2 linked regions of the Diceros bicornis minor genome follow. The protein of the gene in region 2 interacts with the protein of the main gene of each other region in a pairwise test. Links are inferred from orthologs where the notes say so. Each region holds a gene or a part of one and is shown on either strand. Other genes may lie near its edges.

Region 1 (6,900 bases), on a different chromosome or scaffold from region 2:
CAATCCCCGAAGGCCCTCCCTGAGACGGTTAACCTGTGTTGTTTCCACATTCTGGGGCCTCCTGGGTGTTGGGTCTACCGTGTCAAGCCTGTAGCGGACTCGGAGTTCGTGACCGTAGCTGTGAAAGGTGGGAGGAGAGAACTGTTCAGCAGGCTGTATCACAGGATCAGCAAAGCATGAAAGGCTTACCAGGAAGAGCCAGGACACCTGCACTAACGTACCCTGCCTTAGAGCCTCGTCTTAGCCTCTGCAGATCTTCCAGCCCCGGAGCACAGCATTTAACTCTTCACCAAGTATTCTCAGGAATACAATTTCATGTGATCACTGCAATCCTGTGACAGAGGCTGACTGCCCCCATTTTACAGACGAGCAAACTGAGGCCCAGAATGAGACGGATGGCCCGAACTTGCAACTTGAGTTTTCAAGTCTCAAAAGAACCCATGCCTGCACTCTTTCAACAACCCTACAGATACCTGGAGCTAAGAATTAAAATATATATATATCAGCCCCAAAGCCAAACCTCATAAATGAACTTGGGGGCCATTGGAGAAAATGCTCTTCTACATCCCTCCAATATTTTCTATTTTTCTTGTCCCCCAACCAGACTGTAAGTCCTGAGGGCAGGGGCTGTGGCTGAAAATTCCATTATCTCCCAAGTTGCTTAGAATGGTACACAGAGCAGGTACTTGCTAAACGTGGATTAAATACAAATATTCTGAAATACTATGCAGTCATAAAAAAGGAAATAGCTGTCCATGGAGTGATAGGAAGTGATCTCCAAGAAGTGAAGAAAACACAAGGTGTTCAGCAGCGTGGATCAGATACTATCACTTGGGCTAAAAATAGGAAAAGAAAAAAAAATACACATACACCCACATATATACACACACACTCACACAAAACACTCTGTCTGGGAACGGTGTGTTTGGCAACACTGGTTCCCTCCAGAGAAAAGAAGGAGATAGCTGGGGGCCAGTGGGGAAGGGACTGGCAGAGCTGGGGTGGGAGGGAGTCCCAAGTCCTGATTCCTTCCCCAGCCAGCTGGGTTTGCTGCTCCCAAAAAGCCCCATGAACTCTTGTGAAAGTTCTTGGTCAGCTATGCACACATCAGGATGCGGAGAAGGTCCAGCAGACAAGAGGCCCCCATTTTGTATTTGATATAATATAAAATCTGAATCCCCCAACACGATGACATTTGCAAACAACCAGGGCGACCCTAAAGTGAATTATCCAAATCGAGACACTTTTGGAGTGAAAGTGGTGCTATTAATAATCATGCCCCGGCGACAAGCACAAACCAGACTTCCTGGGAAAACCAAGACTAGCCCCCCACAAAAATTATTGTCAGGAGGCTGGCGAGAAGACATTTGGACAAGGGCCTTCAAAGGAACATGGTCTGATTCTAATACTTCACCCCCCCTTCCCCCCCACTACCCCTCCCCCAAATACTGACAAGAATAGAGGCTTTGGGTAAACCGGGTTCAGATCCTGGCTGTGTTCAAACCACCTGACTTCTCTGAACCTCAGCTTCTTCATCTGTAAGACAGAAATTCTGACCCATCTGGAGGGACACTGCGAGAATGAAATGCCTCACGCAGAGCCGGGCTCGGAGAAGATGCCCAGGAAGACTGGCTGCCCTTCCCCTAACGCAGAGAAATAATGAAACGACACAGGCTTCATCCAGAAACTCTGGGGGGTGCACAGAGAGCGCCTTTCTCCCAGACCAGAGTCACAGACGCCACTGCGGGAGGAAGTGTCAGCCCCGTGCGCAGGGAGACGTTGATTCTAATTCTGGGAGTCATTTTGCGAAGCACCTCTTCGAGGTGACTCATTTGGGGACTCGCTGAAAAATCCTTTGAGTTAAAAACAAAAGTTGAGTGGGGCTCAGGTTGCGTCGTACCTTTTCCCTCCACCCCCTGCCCTGGCCAGGAGAGTGGGGGGAGTGCAGGGAGTCTGGAGGGTCTCTGGGCAGAATTTAACCTATTTTTCCCCCAGCATGTCACCAGGGGCTGGGACCAGGCCAAAGGGTAGGAAGTAGGGGGCGAGGAGGAGGAAGGCCAGGAAAACGGGGTGGAGATGACTTCTCCCATCCCCTCTCCCACAGTCCTGCTGCTGCACCCTCCTGTTTCTAGAAACCTACAGCAAAAGCCTGGGCCACCCCCTCCCATTCCTGAATTATAGTCCAAGAGGGAAGGAAGGGGCTGGAAGGACTTCTTCATTCCCCTAGCACTCAGCAGCAGCCATCAGCTGGCCTGCAGCCAGACCCATCTCTGTTGATTGTGGCTGGCTGTGTGACCTGGGGCACATTGCTTGACCGCTCTGGGCCTCCGTTTCCTAACTGGAAAATGAGGACACTAGGAGTACCTGTTACAGGGGCTCTGTGAGGCTGGAAAGGGGCTTTGCAAATGGTAGAGTTTTACACAGATACTTGCCAGGGCCCCAGTGGTCTGGTGCTGCTCCCCGAGTTTCCTTCAAAGGGGAATTTCAGGTTCTTGCTCTGTAGCGTACCAGGACGGGTCTCGGAGCATGGGGCCTGTCCTAGTCACTTCCCCTCATACAGGGCTCTGCTCAAATGTCACCTCATCAGAGAGGCCTTCTCCCAGCACCGCTATGAAAAAGCGCTCCTGGGCTCTCCTCCCCCTTCTCTGCTTTATTTTCTCCACCAGACTTATTATCCTCATCATGCCAGGTACTTTTCTTCCTCCCAGCCCCCACTCCCAGATGGAAGCCCTAAGAGAGTCAGGGTTATATTTTGTTCGCGAGCATATCCCAGTGCCTAGAATAGTACCCGTCCCATAGAAGGCGTTTGTGGATACGTGTCCGGTGAATGAATGAATGAACTAATGTTTGCTGCACGAGTATAGCCAATATCACTGATCCGCTAGTAACACTGCAACACACTGTCTCAGAACTTCTGTCTTTCGATTACTTTTTGCAATGTTTATTTCTCATATTTAACTCTTCAATCTTCATCTATCTGACATTTACTGCAAGGTATATCATGCGAGGTGAGGTTGTAAACAGATCCCCAATTAAACAGCTAACCAATGTGCAGAGTGATCCATTTCATCCCTGTTGGTTCGTGGAAGGGCTGGACTGGGCTGGCTCCTCTGGATCGGCTGCTGCCCGGTCTGCCCCTTCTTACACCAGCAGCCCAGAGCTATGCTGCTCATGAGGTGAGACTGCGTAGATTAGGCACACAGGCACTGGAAGTAGACAATCTGCGGTCCAGCTTCTAGCTCAACCACTTACCAGCTGGGTGACTTTGGGCAAGAGAATTTGCTTCTCTAAGCTTCAGTTCTAAGCCTCGTTTGCTGTAAAATGGGCACGAAAGTAGCATAATGACTCCTTCTGAGACTAGCGGCGGGACTGAACACCACAAGGCAGGCAGAGCGTGCAGCCGCGAGTCCCGCACACAGCGGGGGTTCAGTGGGTGACATTATTGTTATAGCTCACAGCCAGTGGAAACATGTTCACTCACCGGGCAAACGAGGCCCAGCGGGCATCCGCCTGCACCCAGCACAGCGCTATGATCAAGCTGGGCAGCTGGCAGGCAGGCAGTGTCAGTCTCTGGTTCCGGCAGTTTTGCATGTGGTGGAGAAGCAGCAAGTGTGGAAACAGGAACTGTCCGAGCCAGGAGCGTCCCCTTTTGGGGGGGCGGGGGGGGGCGGGTCCCCTTAGGAAGTGAGGCGGGGAACTGAGCTGCTGCCCTTGGGCCCCCATGGAGACTGTCTCCTTAGAGGGTGTGACAAGCATTCATTAGGGGAGTCTGACTTCTTCCAGAAACCTCTGCACATTGACGTGCTGGTTCTGGGATCCACAGGAAGCGGGGAGCGCCAGACGGGGAGACGTTGGCGCTGAGGGCGGGGAGCAGCACCTTCACCACATCGACATACTTTCGGAGCCTGCTTCGTGCCCACATTCAGCAGGCGTAAATAAGCGCTCGTTGGTTAGCCCATTTCAGTGCAACCGGGGCTGTGATGGGAGCAGTGTCAGGCGATGGGTACTCAACAGTGCGTGGGAGGGGTCCCCGGGGTTGGCTGAGTGCAGACTCTAACCCTAAGGGTCTAGAGCCCGAGAAGAGGGGGAGATACTGGGCCCGACTCGCGGTGTGAGCTTGGGCCTCAGTTTCCCCATCTCTGAAACGGGGAGGGGGCGCCTCGGCTGAGCGGACCACTCGCTGCCCAAAACGCTGGGGGCAGTGGAGGGATCCCGGCGCGGCGAGGGCGCCGCGGGGGCGCCCCCCGAGCCTGCGTGGCGGCAGCGCGCACGAGCGCAGGGGGCGGCGCGGGCCCGCGGCGGGGAGGGGCGGGAGCGCGCGCGCGAGCCCGCGCAGGCGGCGGCGGAACCGAGCGGACGAGCGTGCGGCCGCGGCGCCGCCGACTCGTGTGGGACCCGCCGCTGCCGCCGGCGCCCGCCGTCCGCGCGCCGCGCCTCCCGCCGGCAGCCGAGCCCGCCCGCGCGCCGGTGAGTGGCCTGGGGCCGGGCCGGCCGGATCGGGCCGGCGCAGGCCGGGGAAGGGGCGGGGGCCGGGCCGCGGGGCCGTCACCCACACCCGGGCCGAGCGGGGTGCGCGTGCCCGCGCGCGCGCCCGGGGCTCCGCGGGGGAGAGCGGGCGGCTGTGCACGCGTGAGGTCGGGGCGCGTGTGAGCGTGCGAGTCTGAGTGTGTCCGCGGCCGTGCGTCCAAGCGTGCGTGGGCGGCGTGTCCAGCTGTCCCCGGGGCTGTGTTCGCAGGAGTGTGTGCGTGTGCACATCGGCGTGTCAGGGTTGTGTTGTTTGGTGTGAACGAGTGCGGGGGAATGGGCATGGCTCCCCCTTATCCGTTTACTGAGTGTGTTCTCTGTGCCAAGGAGTGTGCCAGGGGCTTCTCGTGTATTCTCATTTTGTGACCCACTCTGTGTGGATTCAGGGAGTATGTGTGTGTGCATGCACGTGCATGAGTGTTCACAAGTGATTTGTGTGCGCGTTTGTGAGCCTGTGAGGACAAAAGTGTGTGTATGTGGATGTGAGCGTGTAATTTGTGTCCAGGAGTGTGTGTGTGTGTTTATTATGGAGGCTGAGGGCCCCCCTTTGTGCCTACCGGGCCTGCTACGTGATGTGCCCACAGCTGGCCCCCATGCAGGGGGCCCGTGGAGAGAAGCAGGCCTGGCGGGCACCCAGTGGGTGCCGGGCCTTGTTTGGTGAGTGAAGAGCCAGAGGTCAGACCCACAGATCCCTGCTGGGCCTGGCAGGGGGCGTGGCCCCAGAGCCAGGCCGGGGCAGGGCCACTGGCAGGACCATCTGTGGGACTCCAGGGCGCACAGGCTGGGCTGCGGCTGTGATGGGCCTGGCACTGGAGGACTTGTGTTCAGTTCTTCCTAAGTGCCCTCTGGGTCCCCTGGCTTTGTTCTTGCCCCTCTCTGGCCCTGGTTCCCTGGGGGGCTCACCCCCCGGGGAGACCAGGGGTCTGGAGTCGCTTGTCTGTGTATCTGGGGGTCTCCCTCTGCCTGCCTCCCTGAGTAGATACGTATGCATCTGATTTATTTGTATCCAGCCTGGGCTCCATGTGAAAGCCCCGAGACAATAACAAATTGATCACAGCAGGCTTGGGACACTGTCTTCCAAGGTCTGTCCTTGTAGGTTTGACTGACAGGTTTTTGGGGGCTTTATGAACGTTGAAAATCTCTGCAGTCGAAAGTCTTAATTGCTTTAAGGCAAACTTCAGAAAGTCTGGAGCTCCCTCGTTCCTCTGAATTGTCAAAATTCAGCTCTCCTTTCCGAGGGGAAAATGTCGTCTTAGGAGCTCAGTGTCTGCGCAGGCAAACCTGGGAGGCCCATTTAAAAACCGTAGCGTTAATGGAAGAAGAATTTCATTGAAAGGGATGCAGAGCTGGCTGGAGGCGCCTGTTCCCAACACGGCAGCTTACCGAGTGAACTTTGAACGTGGTCTTTTAGCAAACAAAACCTGGAAGGAAACAAAAAAGACCCACATTCTTTTTCTTTTTGTCCTAAAAAATGAAAAACAACACCTTCTGGATTTGCTGGAAATGCCGCCTCCCCTTCCCCCAGCAAGGCCAAGCCCTCCCTCTATCCCCCACCCCCAAATAAAATATGCCTGTGGGGAGCTGCGGATGAGTCACTCCCTGGCAGAGAGCCCCACGGGCAAACATTTGGGAAGGTTCTTGCCTAACTTCCCAGAAGAAAAGCCCAGGATTTAAAATGGTCCCTGTGGTTTGTCAGCCCCTGCGTCCCGTCTGCTTCGGAAATGACTAAAAAGTAGTTTCTGTCTTCACAAGACAGAGTCTCAGACTTAAGCAGCAGCCCAGGTTGGTCTGGATTTAGGGCCGTTCGGGTTTCAAGAAACGGAGCTCCTGGCTTTGCCAGGTGGCACTGCTGGTGGCTTTGAGCAAGGAACGAACAGGGAAAGGGAAAGAGAAGTCACATTTATGGAGCACCCACTGCGTGCGGAGAGAAGGGCTGCAGGATAGTCATCCTGCAGAGAATGGCTTTCGGTTTTATGTGCACAAGGAACTGAGGCTCAGAGGGGTCAAGCCTGTGTCCTGGGACACAGATTCCTGTCACCTGCCTGACTTCACGCCCATCCTCTTTCCATTCCCCCGGGAGCATGACATGTGCCTTCTGAAGGTGCACAGACTGTGTGCTGAGTGCTTTAACAGGCATCCATGCATTTAATTTTCACTGGGAGGTAGGGGATTCTGTCTCCATTTTACAGATGAGAAAACCGGGGCTCAGAGGGATGAAACAATGTGTGTAATTTTATGAAAGTATTGCTACAACCAGTGGCCACCATTTATTGAGGGTATACCATGTGCCACGAAGGGTACTGAAAGCTTTAAGTGCCGTGTCCCGCTCAATCCACTCACCCGCACTGTGCGATGGGAACAATCATGATGCCCATT
Region 2 (7,414 bases):
ATCCCTACTAAGTAGGCACTGTGGGAGTCCCACTGTACACATGGGGAAACTGAGGTGCAGAGCCAGGATCCAGCCTTCAGACTTCAGAGTCCTGCACTCTTAACCTTTAGGTTTGAGGTAGTCCATGTCTCTACATCTGACCCCTTTCCCTGAAGCATCTGGACAGAGAACCAAGTCCTCATTCAGGGACGGTGGGGGAGGGAAACTCACCATTTTTGTCTGCTCGGCGGAAAATCTGCAGAGAAGAGAGGTCGAGTCAGCCTGGGCCGAGCCGGGCAGGCGCCCTCCAGCGGTTCTGACCGGTAGTGAGACCCCACTCGTCCCCCGCGGGCCTGGGGAAGCTGAGCCTCACCCCCTCCCCAGCGAGGAGACCCCGGCTGGGATCCAGGGGCGGGGAAGGGACGTTTCAGGCGGAGACCGCCCCAGCCGCCCGCGCGGAAGCAGCCACCCACTCCCTTCTGTGCCGCCAGCCTGCCCACGGCCACGCCGACACACACGCACACGCGCGTGGACACGCTCACACCCATCCACACGCCTGCGGGTGGACTTCCAGAGCTATCGGTCCACGTGGCTTCACCCACTGTCCTGTGCTCAGTCGCACACTCAGAATTGTGTCCCATGGGCGCAGCCACACGCCTTACACCATTGCACCCCTCCCAGAACCCCTGGGGAGCCCCGGTTTTCTCCAGGGAGGTTGGGTTAAGTCTGAAGGAAGGGGTCTGCTAACAGAACCTCGAGACCTGGCGAGTGGACCAGCCGCGGGCAGGGCTGGATTATTTTGGGGGTGGGGGAGTGGGTGGAAGTAGGCAGTAGGGAACCAGCTGCAGATGCAAAGTTCTGGCTGCATCATGAGGGGCTGGAGGCAGGGCACGCCTCCCCCCCCCCCCGCCCCCCCCCCCCCCCCGCCCCCTCCAAGCCTCAGGTGAGACCAGATAACTCCTTCTCTTGTTATTTTTGGGACCAGGTAAGCCATGCTGATTGATTGAGGAGGGGGAGGGGGAGGGGGAGGGGGAGGGCCCCCCCATGACCACCCCATCTTTGGTCCTTGCCTTGGTGCCAAGGGAGGATGCCCCCCCATCCTTCCACCAATGGGGCGGGCATCCATTATCAGGCCCCTGGGGCTGGGACAGACTGAAGCAGCAGCTCAGGGAGGGCTTCTGGAACATCACCCCCCTCCCTCAGCTGAACCCCGAGTCCAGGGCACCAGGCGGAACCCACTGTGGCTGGAGCAGAAAGGGAGGCAGTTATGGGACCACTCCAGGCCCTCCTCAAAGCCCCAGCCTGGGCGCCCCACACCCCTGCTCCTGACTGTGAGGTTCCTGAGGCCGGGGTCCCACCCTCAGGTGCCTGCTCTGGGCCGGGGTGTTAAACAAGGGAATGACAGGACCACAGGGATGCGGCTCGAGGAGTCTGCACCAGCCTGTGAGCCCCGACGCCCGCTCATCACCCCATTTCACAGAGGAGGAAATGCAGACTCAGAGCCCACACACCGCCAGCATGAGGACTCGAAGCCCACCTCCCGACTGTCAGAGAGAATCAGGAGGGGTCGGTGCAGGCTTCCCTACGAGGGCAGGCTTGCGTCTCCGGACCCTGTGGCCCTGGGCTTTCAGCGTGAACTCCGCTGGGGTTGAGAGGAGAGAGAGAGGGAGGGAGGGGGAGAGAGAGAGAGGGGGAGAGGGAGGGGGGGTCTAGCTGTGTAAGTGTGTGTCGGGCTGTGTGTGTGTGTTTGGGGGCACTGGAGCCACAAGCACTCAGAGCACAGCTCCCTTTCCCTACCCAGTCCTCTCCACCCAGAGTCAACTACGGTTTCCAGAAGAGAGGAGACCCACGGTCCCCCCACTCATAGGGCCGTGCAGTACACACACACAACACTCCCAGAAAGCCACCACACACACGTGAAGCACCCCATCCTGCGGCCACCCCCACCACAAAAGGACCCTCACTGGGACATGCATGTCCCACCACCCGTGATCTCACTGGGGGGCAGGAACCCCAGAATGAAGAAGTTTCCCACGGGGCGGCCATCCACCCTGTAGAATCTCTCTCCCACCCGGGGGAGTGCGTGGGGGGGGGGTGAAGTGGAGCTTTGAGTCCCAGAGGGGACTGGGGGGGGGCGGTGAATAGAGGGAGGGTGGGAAGGGAATGGGGGACAGAGGGGCCTAGGAGTGCAGTGGGGGTGGCTGGGGGGAGCCCAGGGGGTCCGGGATCAGCGAAGATGGGGGTGGTTTGGCTCCACTGAAAGGGGAGGGGAAGACAGCTGGGGAGGGGGCTTCACTTTTAAAGAGGCTGTGTCGGAGCGAAAGGGGAATACCGGGCTCAGAGTCTAAAGCCAGGACGAGAAAGCCGGCACCTAAAGCCCGGGGGGGGGGGGGGGGTTGTCTCTCAGAAAAGTAGCGACTCGGCAGGGATCCGGGGTGGAGAGGAGGAGGGGGCTCCGGTCTCAGGAGGGGATGAGAGTAAAGAGCGAGGCGCGGGGCTGGGGAAAAGACGACGGTTTGGCCAGCACAGAAGTAGGGGGGCAGTGGCCGGGGCGACGGGCTCCAGAGTCCCGGCTCCGGGAAGGTGGGGGTCCCGAGAAGTGAAGGGAGGTTGGTGGAAGGAGAGGTCGTCCTGGTTCGGGGACAGACCCCGGCCGGGACGTGACGGGCTGGGGGCTCGCGCTCTGGGGCGCAGAGGGGGATGGGTCGGGGTCGTCTGCGCAGGGAGGAGAGGACGCGGGTCGGGGCGGGGACCCGGGAGGGCGGCGTCGGGGTCGCCCCCGAGAGAGGAGGGGACTCGGGGTCCCGGCCAGCGCGTACTCACGTCCAGGATGACGGCGGTGCCCCCGCGCGGCGAGGCGGGGCCGGGGCCGGGGTCCGCGGAAGGGGCGGCGGGGGCGTCGGGGGCCAGCGGCGCCCGGGGCTCGCCCATCCTGGCGCCCACCCAGCGCAGCAGCCCGCCCAGCGCCCGGCCCTGCGGCGGCGGCTCCCGGAGCAGCCTGTGCGCGCCGGCCCTGCACAGGCGCGCCGCCCGCTCGCACATCGCGCCGCGCCCGCCGCCGCCGCCGCCGCCCGGAAGCCCGCCGACCCCCGCCCGGCCCGCGGCCCGCCCCCGCGCGACCCCCTCCCCGCGCCGCCCGCGCGCCCCGCCCTCCCGCTCTCGGCCCCCACGGCCGCGGCCACCGCGGGGACGGGCCGCCTCCGGGGAAGGAGGGGGAGGGGGGCGCTCCGCCCGGACCCCGAGCCACGTGCCCCGTGTCCACACCCCCCTCCCCCCACTCCCGCGGCCAGGCGCGGCGGCAGGGGGCTGCCCGCCCGGAGCGCGAGGCCTGGCGGCTGGACCCCGGCCCGGCCGCATGGGGGGGTGTTGCGCTGCCCAGTAGGCACGGGGTTGGTGGGGGTCTGGCTGCGTGGGGGGCATCCCTGGGGGCTGCCCTCCCGAAGGTCCCCCCACCCCACCCGTGGCGCCGCCGCAGGGGCCGGAGCTCAGGTGTCCGGCGAGCCTGGAGCGCCCTCTGCCGGCTCCAGCTCCCGAGATGAGTGCCCACGCGCGCGGGCTCCCCCATCACTCCCACTGACACCTACTCCTCCCTCCCGGGGGCGTGCATGCTCCCCCAGACCTCCGCCTCCCATTACACAAAGACCGGAACCAGGCTGCGCCCCAGAACATCCTCTTCCCCTCACACTCCATCCATCCATCCATCATCCACCCATCCATCATCCGTCCATCCATCATCCATCCATCCATCCATCCACTGGTCCAAAGGATTAGTTAGGGAGCACCCGATAGGTGCTAGGCCCCAGACCCTGTGCTAGGCGCCGGATTCCAATAATGGGCAAAACAGACTGGGTCCTTGGCCTCCGGGAGCTTACATCCAAGTGGGTGGAGCCAGATACTGGAACCATTTCACAAATAAATAAACCATTACAACTGAACTGCCATAAAGAGGTGGCACTTTGGGCCATGAGTGAAGGATTTGTCCTGGTGGCCATGTGGCCCTGGAGGGGTCTTCGTCAGAAGAGGCTTCCTAGAGGAGGTGATCCTTATGCTGAGAGAGTGGAAGAAGAGGAGAAAGAGGAAGAGAGAGGAGGGAAAATGCCCTGGGCTAGAGACCAGCCTGTGCAAAGGCCCTGCAGCAGGTACAAGCCTGATGAGGAACTGAAAGGAGACAGTGTGGCTGGAACCAAGTGGGAGAGCAGCAGGGACTAGGTTGGAGGGGTGGGAGGGCTGCAGAAGGCTCCCCAGCACCTCGTTTCTCCACACCCTCCCCTCACTTCTCTACATAGCTGTCCCCCACTTGGGGCACCATCCCTTATCTCCCAACCCCCCAGTCCAAGGACTTCCTCCTACATGGCCCTGTGCCCTCCCCCCAGCTCCCAGAGAAGGGTCCTGGGCATCGGGCCCCTCCCCAAGCGTAGAATCCTCAGACACATGAGTGGAGGCAGGCTCTGGTTTTATTTGGGACCTGATTCTGGAACGAGCGGGGCCTGGAGTCCTCCTGGCGTGGTGCTCAGCTGGCCCTGGTGATCCCTGCTCAGGCTGGCAGCTTTCGCCCCACTCACAGGTCTGGGCCTGCCTCGGCCTGTGGCCACTGTTCCTGAGCCCTGGCCTGAGTCCGGGCAGCCTGGCCTCCCCACTCCTCTTCGTTGGTGAGGCCGCCTCCTGGGCTTGTGGCCGCTCCTGTCTCCTGCCAGGAGAGGTCTCCTTCTCTCACTGGGCATCTTGGGATGGCCTGTGTCTGCAGGGCTGTGGTGATCTCCCTGCCTCTTTAGGGCCTGGGTGCGAGGATGCCAGGCCGGGTGCTAGGGCGGCCTCCTGGCCTCCTTCCTCAGCAGGGAGCTGGCCACGGCCAGGGCCCCACCCTGGACAAACCGCACAAAGTTGTCCCCGGCCAGCGGCCCCACGGCATACAGGCCCTCCTGCTGGGTGCTCTGGTAGGTGAAGGGGTCCACATCGATGGGGTTCCTCTTCGCGCTCAGTGGCTGGTCAGGGTCCATGGCAAGGTCAGTGCCCGCCCCGGGGAGGAAGGAGAGGTCGGGGTGGGAGCCAATGAGGACCAGCACCAGGGAGATGCCGAAGACCTTCTGGAGGCCCGTGGGGTCCCGGAACACGGCCTGGCGGTCCTCCTTGAAGAGCAGCAGCTGGTGCTCGGGGAGGCTGCGGTAGCCCTCGTAGGGGCTGGGCAACAGGATGGACTGCTCCCGCATCATCTGGTGCACCTTGTGGTACTCGGGGTACAGCATCTTGGGCAGCTGGTTGAACACCAGGCCGGGGTCGTCCACGGGCCGGCGGAAGGCGTGGATCACCGGGATGTTGTAGTGGCGGGCGTAGAGGACCGCGTCGGCCGCCGACAGCCCTGCCCCGATGATGAGGATGGGGTCTGAGGCCGGGGTCACCATGCCCGCCCGTGTGGCCACCTCCAGGGCCGACAGCTCGTGGTGCACGAAGGGCAGGGCCTCCCCGGGGATGCCCAGCCGGGCCGGGCTGTCCGACGTGCCTGTGGCCAGCACCACGTTGCGGGCGCACAGGGAGAAGGGCTGCTGACTCCGGTCCTCGGCCGTCAGGAAGCCGCTCACCTGGAAGAGGGGGCTGGGGTCCTGGGCCCCGGAGCCACTGGGCTCAGGTATCCCCCACTCCACGGCCGTGACCACGGCGCCAGACACGAAGTTGTGGCCCAGGCCTTTCTTGGTCACGTAATTCCTGTAGTAGTGAGCGATGTCCCCGGCTGTAGCCCGGCTGTTGCGAAGACCTCTGGGGGGAAGGACATGGGAGGGTGAGCGTCAGAGAGTGGACTGGGGTGTGGGGGCCATCAGGCGACTGGGGATGGCCAGGCTGGAGTCAGGCCCTAGAGCCAGACAGTGGCTGTGCCACCCGCCAGCCATAGGACTTGCCCAAGTGGTTTGACCTCTTGGAACCTCAGTCTCTTCTTCTGTAAAATGAGACTGATCAGGGTACCTCATTAGGGTGAGTGTGGGCCTCACCCTAAAGGGGTTCAGAGTGTGGCCTCTAGAGCCAGACGGCCTGGGGTCAAATCCTGGCTCTGCTGCTGGTGAGCTGTGTGCCTGAAACTCTCTGTGCCTCAGTTTCCTCATTTGCAGCATGAGGGTGACGATGGTGACAGTACCTACTTTGTGCGGTTGTTGAGAGGATTCGATGATGATATAAACAAAGAGCTTAGAATAGGGCCTGACAGGTAGTGAGTGACATATAAGAGTCATAAGAGTTGGCCATTATTGTTACCTCGAAGGATTAAATAATACTCCACATAAATATGGTAGGATTCCATTTTTATGAAGTTCAGATAAAATTAACCTATGGAGTTAGAGGTCAAGAGTGGTCACTTCTGGGGAGGGGGTGGGGGCGGGGACTGGGAGGAGGGGCTCCTGGGGACAGGGTGTCTGTTTCTTGATTCCTGGTGGTTGGAAGGCAGCTGGGTCCACTTTGGGACATTGCGTCCCCCAGCATGCACGTGAGCAGTGTGCTTTGCTGTACGTAGGCTATAATTCAGTAAACGAGTGGATTAAAAATAACCCACGTAAAGCACTTTGCACAGTCCCCAGCTCACACAGTAACAGCAGGGATGATTTTATTATTGCAATTATTATTCCCACCCCCTCTGGGGCCGGGACTGTGGGGCCAGCACTGCTGGTGTCTGAGGTCCAGGCTTTGCGTCATCTCAGCTCCTCCCTACGTCTAGCTGTGTGGCCTTAGGTGAGTTACTTTCCCCAACTGTGGATATACTGTTAGGGATGAACTCACTTAATGGGAATCCTGTGTGACGCGCCACCATGATCAATTGTCACGAGCTCAGACCACATCCCCCGTGGCCACTCCAGCCAACCCAACTCGTTAGTCTGCTACTGAAACTGGAACTGTGGAATTTATTTCTGTGGGTTTGTCATTTCTCTTTCTCTGTTTTAGTAAAAATTATTTTGAAGGGCTGTCCTAAGAAGATGTTACATATGGGCTTATTGATAATAATGCACATTGGAAAGAATGAAGCCCCATGACTGGGCCTGGTCTGGGGACCGTGGCAGCACCACGAGGGCAGGGAGCCCATCTGTTGTGGGTTTGGGCTCCGACATCTAAGCACAAGGCCCGACATGTAGGGAATATTCAGTGGAGATACTGGCTCCCTCGGGAATATTAGGTGGCCGCGTAAAGGATGGTGCAAACACTGTAATCGCCACATGCAATGCTGTGACATCGTGTTCAATTTTAAGAGTAGGATATGGAAGAGTCCGTCTACAAATGAAGTTTAAATCCTGTCTGTCTGTTAGCAAACACATCACTAACAAGCCCGGATGTCTCCCTACCACATCTGCAGGGACAAAAGTCTTTGTGTCAAAGAGACAGACAGTGGACCCCAGAGAGGTGGAGTGCCTGGTGGGTGGGGGCGACAGGCCTCCCCTGCGCCCGTCACAGCCCCCGAGGG

What was found. The genes of interacting proteins can lie anywhere in the genome.
Region 1: the proteins of NECAB2 (region 2) and NEK6 interact in binary tests that used the Homo sapiens proteins (3 or more experiments, as listed by UniProt). The link is inferred for Diceros bicornis minor from reciprocal best matches to the Homo sapiens genes NECAB2 and NEK6.

The regions. Positions count from the first base shown.
Region 1 is NC_080767.1:32,843,268-32,850,167, forward strand, and holds the start of NEK6 (serine/threonine-protein kinase Nek6), read left to right. Parts: upstream 1-3,882; 5' UTR 3,883-3,949; intron 3,950-4,385; exon of another isoform or gene 4,386-4,467; intron 4,468-6,900. UniProt on the Homo sapiens protein: Protein kinase which plays an important role in mitotic cell cycle progression. Required for chromosome segregation at metaphase-anaphase transition, robust mitotic spindle formation and cytokinesis.
Region 2 is NC_080771.1:33,091,586-33,098,999, reverse strand, and holds the start of NECAB2 (N-terminal EF-hand calcium-binding protein 2), read right to left. Parts: upstream 3,022-7,414; coding exon 2,803-3,021; intron 236-2,802; coding exon 211-235; intron 1-210. Other genes in the region: OSGIN1 (oxidative stress-induced growth inhibitor 1), read right to left, coding at 4,782-5,730. UniProt on the Homo sapiens protein: May act as a signaling scaffold protein that senses intracellular calcium.